Saccharomyces cerevisiae S288C: one gene and its partners. The main gene of each other region encodes a partner of the protein of the gene in region 3 in a complex. Each region holds a gene or a part of one and is shown on either strand. Other genes may lie near its edges.

Region 1 (4,005 bases), on a different chromosome or scaffold from region 3:
GTCAGTCTTAACAGAATTCCGTCATGAAGGTAATTATGTGTTGAATTTTGCCACACAACAATACAAATGTTGGATTTCGTTGCCAATTGTATTTGTACTAATTGCTGCGTTACAATTAGTTAACCTGTATTGGCTGTTTTTAATTCTTAGAATCTTGTACAGATTGATATGGCAAGGTATCCAAAAGGACGAAAGAAGTGACAGTGATTCTGATGAGAGCGCTGAAAATGAAGAATCTAAGGAAAAGTGTGAATAAACGTATCTTAAGGAGAATACGTATCATCATATGATTTCCCCCCTGTATGAAGGCCAAGTTAACATGGTATAGCTCATAGTTGTTGTTATAAGAAGCATAAACCCAAGTACGAAAGTAATAATTCTGTAAAAAAAAAAAAAAATGCGTTTATTTAGCGTCTTCGGGTTGGCTATATATATATATTTAAGGATATATGGGCATATGTACAAGTTTAGGTTAACAAGCCAAAAGAAAATAAAAGTGTTCATTTTTCGTTATTTCTGGCCAAGCGATTTTGCAAGCCTCTTTGGCCAGCTCTCGCCAAGACTCCTAGTAAGAAATTGACAGATCTCAATGAATCATCGTTACCTGGGATAGGGTAGGTCACCAAAGAAGGTTCGGAGTCAGTATCGATGATTGCGATAGTTGGGACCCTTGATTTAATTGCTTCTAACAAAGCGTTTCTATTTTCTGTGGGATTTAATACGACCAGCAAGTCAGGCTTAACCTGCTTTGATGTTTCATTCGGTGATAACGCTCTTTCGGTGGGATTGTCATTAGAGTCGATTTCCTGCTTCTCCCAGATACCTGAAATTTCTGTAGAATTCGTCAAAGTACCCGGGATCCATCTGGTAGACACATAATAACCATGTGTCTTCTTAGCAGCTTCCTCGAGCCCTCTTTTCTGGCCTTGTCTTGTACCCAGAAATAGGATAATGCCACCGGATTCCGAAACGCCCTCTACTACCTTGGCGGCTCTCTTCAAATAGGACAAAGTTTGGTTTAGATCTATTATGTGAATACCTTTATATTCACCGTATATGTAGGATTGTGTGGAAGACCTCCAAAGTGAGGTAGACTGGCCCAAGTGAACACCAGCAGACATTAAGCTCTCAACAGTAATGTTTTCTGGGAGGGGCGGATAGAAAATGTCCTTATGAGGATAGTAAACCTTCGAAATAGTGGCACCCAATTTAGCGGTACGCATGGAATGGTTTAGTTGACGCAAGAAAAGTTCTTGAGAGGAATATGGTTTGTCATTGGCCGAAGGTATAAGGTTAGGGTAAGGCTTGGTTGGCGTGGCTGCTGCTGTCGTTGTAGAAGATTGTCCATCTAATGTCTTGCTGTCAAACAACTTGTTCAACAGAGCATAATTTCTGAAAAAGTCACTCAATTCAGCCTCCAGCTGCTGTTCTTTGTCAGAGAGTTTGTCTTGCTCTAATGACTTTTTCAACTCAGGTAATATTTCATCTTCTGGTACCTGAGATAGAGACTTCAATTCTGATCTAATTTCATCATACAAAAGTTTCTGTTGCAACAGCATCACCTCATCGTTATTGTTAGGGGTGTTGGCCGCACCGGATGCTGACGACTGAAACCTTTTGGTAAGGGAAGGGTTCCTCAATAAGGAAAGACGTCTGAAATTCCTCGCAAAAACGTGTCTCTGCATGAGAAAAGAGTCGTTTCTCACTTTTTATTTCTCGAATCACCTGTATTTGTGCCCCGCGATAATCAGGCTCTCGAGCGTATGTACACTTGCCAGAACTGATTATTATTTACCATCAAATATAGCAGTGACCTACGACATACAAATTTCATCTCTCGGATTCACTTACCGAATTGATTTTTTTCTTGCACTCTTTTCTGACCCGGCACGGCCTTTTCTTACCGAGATAAACAGGAAAATAGGGCAGTATGCGTGTGTTATACGTGAGAGAGAGCAAGCGGGTGAGTATTCGTTTCATTACAGTTTATGCATTAACATAAACGTATACATATTACACATACACATATACATAGATAGATACATATACGCATATATTAATGCTCAGGTGCAATAACGGGTGCAACAACAGCAGCAGCAGGATACAATATGCAGTTTGAAGAGCGGTTGCAACAGCTAGTAGAAAGCGATTGGAGCCTGGATCAGTCAAGCCCAAACGTACTGGTGATAGTCCTTGGAGACACTGCCAGGAAGTACGTAGAGTTAGGAGGACTGAAGGAGCACGTGACTACGAACACTGTGGCAGGTCACGTGGCAAGCCGGGAGCGGGTATCCGTAGTTTTTTTGGGCCGGGTAAAGTACTTATACATGTACCTCACCCGGATGCAAGCGCAGGCGAATGGTCCGCAATACTCTAATGTACTCGTCTATGGATTGTGGGATCTCACCGCGACACAAGATGGACCGCAACAGCTGCGGCTACTTAGCCTTGTGTTACGGCAGTGCCTCAGTCTGCCATCTAAAGTTGAATTCTATCCAGAACCGCCTTCTAGTAGCGTGCCTGCCCGGCTATTGCGATTCTGGGACCATATTATCAGATAGCTGCATTGTGTTACATGCGATATCGTAGAAGACGATAGAACGAAAAAGAAACGTTAATCTTTTTTTCCTTTTTTTTTCGATTAAAAAAAAAAAATTTTCGCCTCGTGGCCCGAAACACGGCCAAGAGAGGGAATTCGAAAGTCTACCGCTTTTGGCAGCTGAAAAATTCAGAAAGTCACCTGGCCAGAGAGGAAAAATACGAAACCAAAAAGAGGCATCCGTAAATTCGCATTAGCAACGCATGCTTACATAGATACTCACATACTACACACACTTACATACTTTCTTAAAGACATACATCCGTACGTACAATTAGAGCGAGGTAGCAAGCAACCCAAACTTCTTCCCTTCACTGCCTCACACCCCATCCTAAATATCCCACAAGATCCTCGACTAATACAAGAAATGAGCAATGATCCATCTGCTGTATCGGAACTACCAGACAAGGACAGTCTTGATAACGGTATCAGCAATGACAATGAAAGGGCCATGGGCGGCAATGGCGATGGCGGCGATGGATTACGATTACCAAGGACCACTGGAACTTTGAACGTCAATGCCTTACAAAAAGGCACTAATGCTGCCCATGAAGCTGGTGGATACAAATCCATGGATCCTGCGAAGAACGCGGAGACAACCAATGATGATGACAATAATGTCGTTTCACTAGATGATCCTATTCAATTTACCCGAGTATCTTCCTCCTCTGTCATCAGTGGAATGTCTTCATCCATGAGTCCTCATTCTAACATCGATGAAACCAAATCTCTAGAAGCAGTCACTCCAAACATAAATACCAGCAATATAACCCCGGATCATTCTGCTGACAACACATTTTCTACCATAAATGCGTCCGAGTCAGATCACCAGTTTAATGACACTTTACTATCAAAACTGTCGTTAACAGATTCTACAGAAACTATAGAAAATAACGCGACAGTGAAGCACCAGCAGCCAGTTGCATCTTCCACAGTAAACTCGAATAAGAGCTCCACTGATATACGAAGGGCTACACCAGTGTCCACTCCCGTTATCTCTAAACCATCGATGACAACCACGCCAAGACAGATCAATTCAGCTTCCCATTCGCTTTCGAACCCTAAGCATAAGCAACATAAACCAAAAGTTAAACCGTCCAAGCCTGAAGCAAAAAGTAAACCGGTTTCTGTGAAAAAAAGCTTTCCTTCGAAAAATCCTTTAAAAAACTCCTCTCCACCTAAAAAGCAAACAGAAAAATCGTATTATTCTTCCTCTTCGAAAAAAAGGAAAAGCGGTTCAAATAGTGGTACACTAAGAATGAAAGATGTCTTTACGTCCTTTGTACAGAATATAAAGAGAAATTCTCAGGATGATAAAAGGGCCTCATCGTCGTCCAATAATTCTTCCTCATCTTCTATAACCACCGCTTTGAGGATATCTACGCCATACAATGCCAAGCATATCC
Region 2 (3,657 bases), on a different chromosome or scaffold from region 3:
TTTCTTGCATCGAATAAAATATCCCATGACTTCAGCAGCATTGAAGATCCTTCTTTAAGAGCCTCCAAATCATTCAAGAATATTTCGGTATGCTCAGCGATCTTCGGTTATTCTTTTGGCGTTCTATTTGGTACTTTCCCCTCCATAGTAGCAGATAGATTTGGCACAAATGGGTATAGTACGCTGTGGGGTGTTTTAACGACTGGTGGTGTATTTTCAGTGAGTGTTTTTACCGATATATTAGGTAGAGATTTCAAGGCAAATACAGGAGATGATGATGGGAACTGTAAAAAGGGAGTGCTTTGCTACAGCTATACTTTTATGGTTACGAAATATTGTGCCGCTTTTAATCTTTTGTTCGTTTTGGGGATAATTGGATATACGTACTATCGAAGAAGAGCAACTGCAAATTCCCTGTAGACGGTGTCATCCTGACATTGCTTTCATATTCTTTTTCACCATCACAAATGAACATTTTAAGAAATATTACTATATACTGGTATATATTCAACATTTTACAACGGACTACCCGTGAAATATTTCCTCAGGGTACTTGAATTCAACGTGCAAGTTTTCAGCAAACTTTATGTCAGAATCACTGAAGTCCTTTTTCCTCCCAGCAGCGTCACCGCAATAATATATCCAATTCAACTTGATGGGAGAAATTTGTTCTGAAACCCTGTATGCACTTTCCAGGTCCCTTTTAAAAAACTCTACCATTCCTGTCATTGGTTTTCGAACTTTTTCGAATATGTTAGGATCATTGTTATAACTTTCACCTAAGCTTGCGAATGTGATCTTACTATGATTTGCTGCAAAAGTTTTCGGCCTTTTAGGTGCTGCATATAGCCATAACCTGTGTGATAACGTTTCTCCTCTCTCATCGTTTTTGATTGCCTTTAAAAATAGCAAAATTTTATTAGTGTACTTGGTGCAACTTTTAGAAGTTCTTGGGACGGTGATGACACCACCTTGGTTAGAAAATATGACTATGACGGCCGTGGGATCATTATCAATGATATTACACAGGTAATCCAGGGTGGATTTCTTGGAGTTAAAATTAATAAACTGCCAATCACTTGCGCTTCTACTAAAACTTATATTGGGGGACTTTGGTTTGATAATTGTATGGTCCAGATCAAAGGCATAAACGTTTAGACCATGCTCGTCGTGATCAATGGATTGTGGAAACTTGGGCGTGAACTTAATCAGAAATGGCAGGATTGTTAATTTGTGGGACATGGGCTTTCCTTCGGTTCAGTTTTCTATGTTATCCATCTGATTTTGGGATGATTTTACAGATTAAAATCGATTTAAAGCCATACGCAAAAGAGGGGAAACGAAAGAAACGCACAGAATTCATTCACATAGATGAAGGGAACAGAAAATGAGAATGTTATATGACAGATAAGCAGCATATTCAGGACATATATCCAGATATATATACATATAAGCTATTAACAAGGAGAAGAAACCAAAAAAAAAAAAAAAAGAAAACATCCTCAGATGATATCAGCTTTACCTACAGTTTCGTAATATTTACAGACGTCAGAGCCACTCAATTTCCTCGGAACAAAGATTTTAGACACTATAGAAACCTCATTTTCAAATCTTGTTGCATCAGCAATCGAATGAGGAAAGTTCACAACTACTAGCTTGTCACCGGTCTTGAAGTTCTCTTTGAAATATCTACCCAAAAGCATGACCAACATACCGGTCGGCAAATTGTAAGCGTACGTGTCACACCCGTATTTTTTGTAGTATTCATTTAATAAAGCCTCATATCTATCATCCCTCAAGGTTCTGTAGTAATCGATGACCTTGACTGGATCGACAAACTGCAGCTCATTTATATCATCGCCTTGTGATTTCTGCAGTACCTTTCTAGTTTCTTCAATGCTGGGTGATAAGGAAAACTTTATATCGACCTCACCTTGTGGGAAGATAGCCACACGTCTTTTCAACCCTTTAACCACATTTTCGAATTCTTCTTCTGATAATGTTGTCTTCGGTTTGTTCTTATCTAAAGACTGTACTGTCTTGACAAATATCACTGTACCGATAATAGCAACAAGGAAAATTTTCTTAAATCCTGGAGCATCTATTTTATCTGATTTGTTAGACCTTTTAGTTGAGCTATCAGTTGATGAGTATCGTGCTCTCAAGAGCAATGGTGAAAATAAGGGTAATTGCTTTTGAGGCAACCCACCGCACACCTTGAAACAATGTCGGCAGCTTGCTAGAACGCTTTTTCTCAGTGGTCGCAACATGTAGGTAGTCTATTTATCTGGGCTCGTTATGTATTAATCTTCCTATGGGGATTCATTCATTTTAGCTTTACCGGCAGTCCTTACAAACCGCTTTTTGAAATTAAATCGACAAACTGAGGAAGAAGAACGGAAAAACAGAAGAAAGCCAAAGGCAAAGAAGCGACCACATACACCTTTTTTTCGATCTAAACTAATCGCCCAAAATGTCGTTGGTCAAACTTGCGAATACGTGTGCTCATTTACAGAACTGCTCGAAAGTTAGAGTTGCCTTAACATCGATCCCATATACGAAATTGCAGCTACAGTTTGCGTATAACCTTTACCAACAAGGGTTCTTATCGTCTTTACAGAAGGGATCGACTATGGGACCAGACAAAGATTTTGTTGAAGTAACACCAGACAATATCTCTACTAGAAGGCTTTGGGTTGGATTGAAGTATAGAGATAACAAACCTGTCCTCAGCAGCTGCAAATTAATTTCCAAACCAAATTCAAGAATACACCTGCCAATGGAAGACATGAAGAAACTATGCTCTGGCGTAACTATTAGAAACATCAAACCACTACAACCAGGAGAACTGATTCTAGTTCGAGCTCATAACAACATTATGGACATTAATGAAGCCATATCCAAAAAGTTGGATGGAGAAGTACTATGCAGAGTAAAATGAATAGAACAATCACATATGACCGTATTTATACGTGTAATTAAAAAATATACGGACCATGTAAATAATAATATTATAAAATGCAGACAATGATGATGAGTATAGTACTACAGTAACGTCCTTCATTCATTACCTTTACTAGCAGTGATAAAAAGTTTTGAAAAAAAATGTGCTCCAGGGGAGGTTCGAACTCTCGACCTTCAGATTATGAGACTGACGCTCTTCCTACTGAGCTACTGAAGCTGTCTGTTATGGAGGATTCTAGCATTAAATGCTTTAATACTCAATAAAAGCAACAATGGAGAATAATTTATCAGCAACTAAATTTATAGACGAAGATCCTACGCCAAATCTTAGCTCCTTTATATTTAATATTGAAAAACATATGAATTTTAGGTTGAATCCTCAAAATGGAATTGATATTTCTACATAATAGTACTACGATTATTCTTCACTCTGTTTTATATGTGTCATTATGTTATTACATTATCAATCCTTGCATTTCAGCTTCGTCTAACTTCCATGACAGTTTCTCATACCTTATGTCATCATCTAACACCGTACATGATAACATACTGGTAGTGTAACTACTAGTTGATAGATGATAGTTCATTTTCATTCCAACAATTGTCGTTAGAGATCGCTACATAATCAACCTTTGCACTTCAGCTTCCATTAAATCTGATTAATGCTTCTTAATCTTTAAGCCATCTTCTTGC
Region 3 (3,534 bases):
AAAATAAACAGATTATACAATTTTTGTTTGATTTGTATTGGGTACTACATGTTTTAGTAGTTGATACAAATACTTCTTTATCCTAATCGTATATATTTATTTTACCAGCAGGAATTCGTCTTTAATATCGTTTCGACCATCGATCATTCCTCTGAGTATTGCAAAAACATTTTTGGAACAACCCAAACTTAAAGTTACAAAACTCAAAAAAGGAACAAAATTAATAAAACAAAAGAATCGCTGTTAGAGGTTTATTGTTGCACTAATAGAAAATCATAGAACTTTAAAAATTATACTAGAAAGATGTCACAACAAGTTGGTAACAGTATCAGAAGAAAGCTGGTAATCGTTGGTGATGGTGCCTGTGGTAAGACATGTTTATTAATCGTCTTTTCCAAGGGCCAATTTCCAGAAGTCTACGTACCAACTGTCTTTGAAAACTATGTAGCAGATGTTGAAGTTGATGGGCGTCGTGTAGAGCTAGCGCTATGGGATACCGCTGGTCAAGAAGATTATGATAGACTAAGACCATTGTCATACCCAGACTCCAATGTCGTATTAATTTGTTTCTCTATCGATCTTCCAGATTCTTTAGAGAATGTACAAGAAAAATGGATTGCCGAAGTATTACATTTCTGTCAAGGTGTGCCAATTATTCTTGTTGGTTGTAAAGTGGATTTGAGAAACGACCCACAAACCATTGAACAATTAAGACAAGAAGGTCAACAACCCGTTACATCACAGGAGGGACAATCTGTAGCAGACCAGATTGGCGCAACCGGATACTACGAATGTTCGGCCAAGACTGGTTATGGTGTCAGAGAAGTGTTTGAGGCCGCCACTAGAGCTTCATTGATGGGTAAATCTAAAACGAATGGTAAAGCTAAGAAGAACACTACTGAAAAGAAGAAGAAGAAGTGTGTCTTGTTATAGGAGTGTCTCGATCTCTCAGTCGTTAACTTAGTGGCAGATACTGCCCTTTTTCAATCCCATTCCTTTTCTCATTGTATGTACGTATGCCTTTTTTTGTTATTTTAGCTCTAACTATAGCTACTTGTTTTTCTCCCAGTATGTGTATAATCTTATTCTTCTCTACATATAAGTGTATTGCTCAGTAAGTATTATCATCTATTAAAGAAGAATAAAAATTATCATGTATTTATTTACAAGTGCGTATCCTATATATATATATATATATACTTTCGCGATAAAATTTTTTACCAAATACCCTTCTTAACACCTGGCAAATTACCCTTCAGAGCGTTTTCTCTAAATTGATACCTACACAACCTAAAATCACTTAGAACAAATCTTGCATGTCCAGAGTCCACGCACCTATTTTTGATCTGCGTAGATCTCATGTAGTTTGGCAATGCATTTAGTTTTAACTGAGCCTCCAACCTCAGTTTTGTTGGAAGGTTCATATTTCTAGCGATGAATTTCAAAGATTTAACAAGGATTTCATTCTCTTTAAATTGTTGTCTTTTGAAGTTATCCCTAAGTATGCGAGCATTGATAAACCCTGGTGGTAGCTTGGTTTTTATAGGAAATCTGAAATTACCCATCGGTTAATGTATATATTTGTCAGTTTACCTTTTCTTTCGTTTTTCCTTTCAATCCTCTTTATCGCAGTTTGGTTCTTAGTTTGAATATTCCTCTGTTTTCGCTCTTTTCTCGTACAGCGCGAATTCTCCGCCAGCTTTAGAAAGTTGTAATCATTGGTGTTATTAAGGAATAAATAATTAGTCACATACATATGGTTATATATCGTACTCTATCTATCTAGGCATCTTGCTTTAAAAATTGCGCGAATCGGCTGGCTTCATGAATTCCACACTCGGTCTTGGCCTTGCCCTTCCATCTTCCTGCTCTCTCATCTTCACCTTCCTTGACGGGTTGTGTGGAATGGTAATCACCAATGGATCTATATCCAAGGTCCAAAAGTTCGTTGTATGGTACATTGTTTGCATCTATATACTGTTTAACCTGCTCGAACGTCCAATTGATCAATGGATTTATTTTTAAGATTCCATTAAGTTCGTCTATTTCAATAATCGACAGTTGGGAGCGGGCAGAACCTTGTGATTTTCTTCTACCAGTAAACACAGCACTTATATGTAGCTCTTTGTAGGCACGATGTGCAGGTTCCACTTTGGCCAGATAATCGTACTTGTCATCATCTTTCTCCCATAAGAAATCCCCGTATTTCGAGGCAAAATCTGCCTCCGATTCACATCCATCCGGCTTATATACGTGAATGGTTTGATTTTTAGGCTGGTAGTATTTTTTCTCAATCTCGTTTTTTAGTGTTAAAGTTTGTGGGAAATGGTGCAAAGTGTCTATAAATAATAGTTCTGGCATGTAGTATTTTTCAGATAGCTTTGACAACATATCGATAGTAACCAAGCCAGTCAAACCAAATGCAGTGGTTTGGAAAAGGTGAGGAAACGTTACGATAGACCATGCAATAATCTCCTGTGGCGTTTCCAGCTTGATTAGTTGTTCATTCCAATGATCCAACTGTTCTTGTGTGACAATTATATCATTATTCAAATGATAGGTCTTCATTTTATGAGTTGCTATGGGTTGATACCTTTGCTGGCCTTAGTTTTGATCTTAAAGCATTGAAAAGGTTACAAACAGTACAGTATACTTTTTTTATATCAATATAATACTATCTCTATGAGCTTTTACTTTGTCGAGATTTGCTGAGTCATGTTGTGGCTTTTCTTTTACTAGCCACGTGAAATGATGATAAAAATAAAAAGAATAACGACGGAATAAAGAACAGTATGATAAACCGTAAAGATATTTAGAATCAATAGGTGATGTCCACCCGGTAACAAGATGCCATTCATGTTAAACTAGGACAAATTTCCTTCTTGTCCCCCCACCATTCTCTTTTATCCAATTCTTTTGTCAGCGCGCATTAAAGAACAAGAACTTCGTACTTTTAACTACTAACTCCTGTTTGAGAAAGAGGCAAATATATAGAAAAATAAACCGATAAGATGAATGGAAACAGCACTAACAATGAACAATTGCAGCAAGAACTGGCCACTACTCAAGACCAAGTGGCTTCGATTATTGAGTCCTTCGTTGAATTAGGTGTCTCGATATATGATTTTCCTGGTACTCCAGAAGCCACCAAGGGAATGATCACCAACTTGCAAAGAAATGTGGATCGCTTGTACAAGCTGAACGTGAGAAGCAACGATCCTCAATCCAGCTTGTCTAAGGTGGACATTCCCTTGGAAGTTGTTCAATACATTGAGGACGGTAGAAATCCAGATATTTACACAAGAGAGTTCGTGGAAGCCATAAGAAGATCCAACCAATATCAAAGAGGCAAGATGCATGGATTGAAGCAATTAAGAGATTCACTTGCTGACAAGATTGTGGATGAATTTCCAGAGTTGAAAGAACCTGTTGAAGATATTATAAAGAGAACATCTCCCATTGACAATGTCTCCAATACTCACTAATAGTAATTTTTCTGATTTTTTTTCTCGCTAGAAAAAAAAAATTTCATGG
Region 4 (3,664 bases), on a different chromosome or scaffold from region 3:
CTCTCTTTCCTTTACGACTATTGTTCTGCCAAGCTCAAGCGAGCTATACGATTGGCTATCTTCTTCTTCTATCCTTGGCAAAAGTGGCTCATATTCATTAAAAACGTCTTGTAAGACAGTCTCATTTATGGGGTTTGCTGGAGGCAAATGCACAGGATCAACATTTTTCTTGACTTCTTGTAAAATGCTCTTCTTCTCCTTGTCATACCACATGCACTGTATTAACAAAATTAAATCTGCCAATGTATAGTAAGCAGCTAAAATTATCATGGTTGGGAGTAAATTTTGCATCATAGCTCCCATGACGTTAAATATATCACCTAATAGCCACAACACAATGAAAAGCAGTGATAATCCCTCCGCAGACTGTCTTCGGAAGTTTTCATAAATCTGTGGTACAAACACAACAATCCAACAGCATATTGATATGGATCCAGCCATCCCACTGAGATTCTTAGCATTCAAAATAATTGGGATCAGCTTCATGGCAGAAATTTAGGGATGCTCGCTTGAGGCTATTACGTCTGGGTTATAACAAAATATTGTGGGATATTACAGGAGAATAGTTTATTTATATGCCTGAACCCGGTGTTATTTGTAGTATTTATGGTTTATATTATGACTCTTTTTACATGTAACGGTCATAGTAAAATCTATTCTGATTTGCATCTTATCATCTCCTTCTTTTTTCCAATGGAATTTGAGTCATTGCTGCAAGGCCCCTTTGCTTTGCGGGTGAGAGGAAAAAAAAGATGAAGTATTATGTGCAGTAAGTAGAAGAAAATACTAACTGAGCAATATTCGAATACATATAACTTTATTTACAGGAATAACGAACGAGAGTTGTGCTTCTAATGCTGGGCGGCGTTGTATGCAAAATATATAACGTTTCTTCTGGCATGTGTCAAAAAACTCAGAGCACGCACGCTTCCGTTCGAAATTGAGGTAACAAGATGCACTAAGACTATCTCTTGACCCATGTTGGCATCTTTCTTGCCTTCTTTTTTCCTGGCTTCTTTCTTTCGACGTGCCTGTAATCTCTTGTTAAGACGCCAGCTTTATGTAGTCTGGATTTTAATAATGGATTGAACACAACCAAAGCTTTCGCAATGGCGTGCATGATTGATTCAGCCTGACCCGTAGGTCCGCCTCCAGACGTTGTCGCAAAAATATTGTACTTTCCAACTGATTCGATCACTTGAAGTGGATACATGATTGATTCTCTGTCTTTCATCTTAAGGAAGTAATCATTCAATTGTCGACCATTAACTAATATCTCACCTGTACCTCTAACAACGAATACTTTCGCAGTGGAACTTTTCCTTTTTCCAACGGCTATACTTCTTCCAAACTCATCTAAAGTTTTGATTTTGATATTATTGGAAAGCATTGAACTTTTTTTATAATATTGGGATAGTTCGGATGTGATTTCATCATTAGTAAGTTGAGGATCAATGTTGTGAAGTTTATTCAACATATACAGTAGCTGAGTATATTGCGTAGGCTTTAATTTCGTACCACCGCCGATTAAAGCGTACTCATCGAAAGAAATCCAAGGAGCTTTTGTTTGTTGTGCTTCATTGTTGTTCTGAGATGGCAGTTTTATGTATTTCCTTAGAAGTCTTTCGAGTCGATTAATACGATCTTCATGGTTAGGATTCGCCGAATAAAATGTGGCTAGCTTTGGGACGATCCTTCTGGGCAATTCATCCTCGGTTTTTTGATAAATAGTCCTAAAAGACATTCTCATAGGGGCAGGAGCCAGAGCTGCCCTTCGAAACAAAGAAAGCCTTGAAAACATTCCGCTTGGCTCAAACTCTGTCCACAACGAGTAAATTTTAGCTAATCAATTTAACCAATTTCTACTCCTCCTGGTTTCAGTTTCCAGTCGACATTATTAAATTTCTTTTCCGTAAATGGCCTATTTCAGTTTGTCTTACGCACGCAGTTGCTAGTTTTAAATATATCATTTTATACGTAAAGTTCATCTATATATCACATTATATGTCTCGTAAAACAATGGATTACAAAGAATTAGATATTGAAACGTTTGTATAGGTTGTTCTTGTAAGGCAAAATACCAAATGTCCACCGGTTCTCGCAAAGTACAGAATCACTCGCTATTTACTGAAGTTCAGAAATGGAGTAATTCTCATTGTTACAAATAAATCGTAAAAAGTCAATATCTACAAAATAGCTTATATAAAAAGTAAAAATATATTCATCAAATTCGTTACAAAAGATCATTTAGAAGTCTCAACAACATATCTACCAACAATTTCACCCTTCTCCATCTTTGCAAAAATTTCAGGAACATCCGATAGGCCAGCTAAGTGGATCGGAGATTTGATCAAACCTCTGGCGAAGAAATCTAAAGCCTCCCTTGTATCAGCTCTATTTCCAACACAAGATCCAACGATGGAGATTGATTTTACAACTTGATTGAAAACATCGGAATTGCAGTAAGCATGAGCTGGCATACCAACCAGGACGACAGTACCATTGGGCCTACAATACCTCGTAGAAGCCTCGATAGCTGCTTCAGAAACAGACACATTAATAACTCCATGAGAACCGCCATTAGTGGCCTTTATTATAGCACCAACAATGTCTTTTTCTTCCGTGAAATCGATGAATATTTCTCCGCCTAATTGTTCAAATAACTTTCGCTTGGCATTACCACCATCGATACCAATGACCCTGTAACCCATAGCAAGGGCGTATTGGATTGCCAGAGAACCCAAGCCACCGCATGCACCGGATATAGTGACCCATTGGCCTGGTATCACATTGGCTCTTTTCAACGCCTTATAAACAGTGATACCTGCACACAAGATTGGGGCAACTTCAGCAAGATTGACGTTTGGTGGAATATGGGCAGCTTGAACGGCATCGGCAGTTGCGTATTCTTGAAAAGTACCATCATGTGTGAAGCCAGTACCATCCAAATAAGGACATTGAGATTCATTACCTACTTCACAATATTCACAGGACATGCAAGTCCCATTCAACCATTTTATACCTGCAAAATCACCGACTTTCCAGCCCTTAACGTTAGATCCCAACTTAACAACAACACCAGCACCTTCGTGACCACCGATTAATGGAAATTTCAATTGAAATGGCCAATCACCGTGCCACGCGTGCAAGTCACTATGACAAACACCAGAATATTTAACGTGGACTAAAATTTCGTTAGGCTTAGGTTCCGGAACTGTGACGTCTTTATATTCCAATTTTCCATCTGTCTCATAAAAGACAATAGCCTTTTGTTTTTCAGGAATGACTTGCGAAGGCATGATGCTTTGATTTTGTAGATATGTAGTTAAATAATTTTCTTAGGTATCTTCCAATCAGAGACATTGTGAGACAGTAAAGCAGTAGTTTGCGCTAGAAATATCTTGTAGTCCCTCTTTTATATTCGTAGTATGTTATATAGATTACAATCTAGACAATACGAAGGAACGATCCCGCGTCAGCAGATGTCACAATTTGATTATTTCATTGTCACATGCTTTTTGACTCATCCTTCCGCGAAAGGAGAACTTTTTACAATGCCGCCGGCTCTGTTAGCGTACCCTTCTACAAGCAGATAGCAGAACAAACACATGATATATTCAAAAGGTGCAATGTCAGAGAACATATATTGCGCCCCTGTCCTGTA

Evidence for each region.
Region 1: MRP2 (region 3) and MRP4 share a complex: the UniProt entries of both Saccharomyces cerevisiae proteins name them as parts of the mitochondrial small ribosomal subunit.
Region 2: MRP2 (region 3) and MRPS8 share a complex: the UniProt entries of both Saccharomyces cerevisiae proteins name them as parts of the mitochondrial small ribosomal subunit.
Region 4: MRP2 (region 3) and MRPS9 share a complex: the UniProt entries of both Saccharomyces cerevisiae proteins name them as parts of the mitochondrial small ribosomal subunit.

What each region holds. Positions count from the first base shown.
Region 1 is NC_001140.6:96,899-100,903, reverse strand, and holds MRP4 (mitochondrial 37S ribosomal protein uS2m MRP4), read right to left. Parts: upstream 1,686-4,005; coding exon 501-1,685; downstream 1-500. Other genes in the region: sphingosine N-acyltransferase LAG1, read left to right, coding at 1-256; YHL005C (uncharacterized protein), read left to right, coding at 1,684-2,076; SHU1 (Shu1p), read left to right, coding at 2,109-2,561; mitogen-activated protein kinase kinase kinase kinase STE20, read left to right, coding at 2,967-4,005. UniProt on the Saccharomyces cerevisiae protein: Component of the mitochondrial ribosome (mitoribosome), a dedicated translation machinery responsible for the synthesis of mitochondrial genome-encoded proteins, including at least some of the essential transmembrane subunits of the mitochondrial respiratory chain.
Region 2 is NC_001145.3:569,775-573,431, forward strand, and holds MRPS8 (mitochondrial 37S ribosomal protein uS8m MRPS8), read left to right. Parts: upstream 1-2,473; coding exon 2,474-2,941; downstream 2,942-3,657. Other genes in the region: YMR155W (uncharacterized protein), read left to right, coding at 1-420; TPP1 (polynucleotide 3'-phosphatase), read right to left, coding at 526-1,242; AIM36 (Aim36p), read right to left, coding at 1,503-2,270; YMR158C-A (uncharacterized protein), read right to left, coding at 3,420-3,557. UniProt on the Saccharomyces cerevisiae protein: Component of the mitochondrial ribosome (mitoribosome), a dedicated translation machinery responsible for the synthesis of mitochondrial genome-encoded proteins, including at least some of the essential transmembrane subunits of the mitochondrial respiratory chain.
Region 3 is NC_001148.4:875,065-878,598, forward strand, and holds MRP2 (mitochondrial 37S ribosomal protein uS14m MRP2), read right to left. Parts: upstream 1,566-3,534; coding exon 1,218-1,565; downstream 1-1,217. Other genes in the region: Rho family GTPase RHO1, read left to right, coding at 304-933; MET16 (phosphoadenylyl-sulfate reductase (thioredoxin)), read right to left, coding at 1,783-2,568; mediator complex subunit NUT2, read left to right, coding at 3,012-3,485. UniProt on the Saccharomyces cerevisiae protein: Component of the mitochondrial ribosome (mitoribosome), a dedicated translation machinery responsible for the synthesis of mitochondrial genome-encoded proteins, including at least some of the essential transmembrane subunits of the mitochondrial respiratory chain.
Region 4 is NC_001134.8:533,397-537,060, reverse strand, and holds MRPS9 (mitochondrial 37S ribosomal protein uS9m MRPS9), read right to left. Parts: upstream 1,802-3,664; coding exon 965-1,801; downstream 1-964. Other genes in the region: RTC2 (cationic amino acid transporter), read right to left, coding at 1-486; alcohol dehydrogenase ADH5, read right to left, coding at 2,244-3,299; YBR144C (uncharacterized protein), read left to right, coding at 3,512-3,664. UniProt on the Saccharomyces cerevisiae protein: Component of the mitochondrial ribosome (mitoribosome), a dedicated translation machinery responsible for the synthesis of mitochondrial genome-encoded proteins, including at least some of the essential transmembrane subunits of the mitochondrial respiratory chain.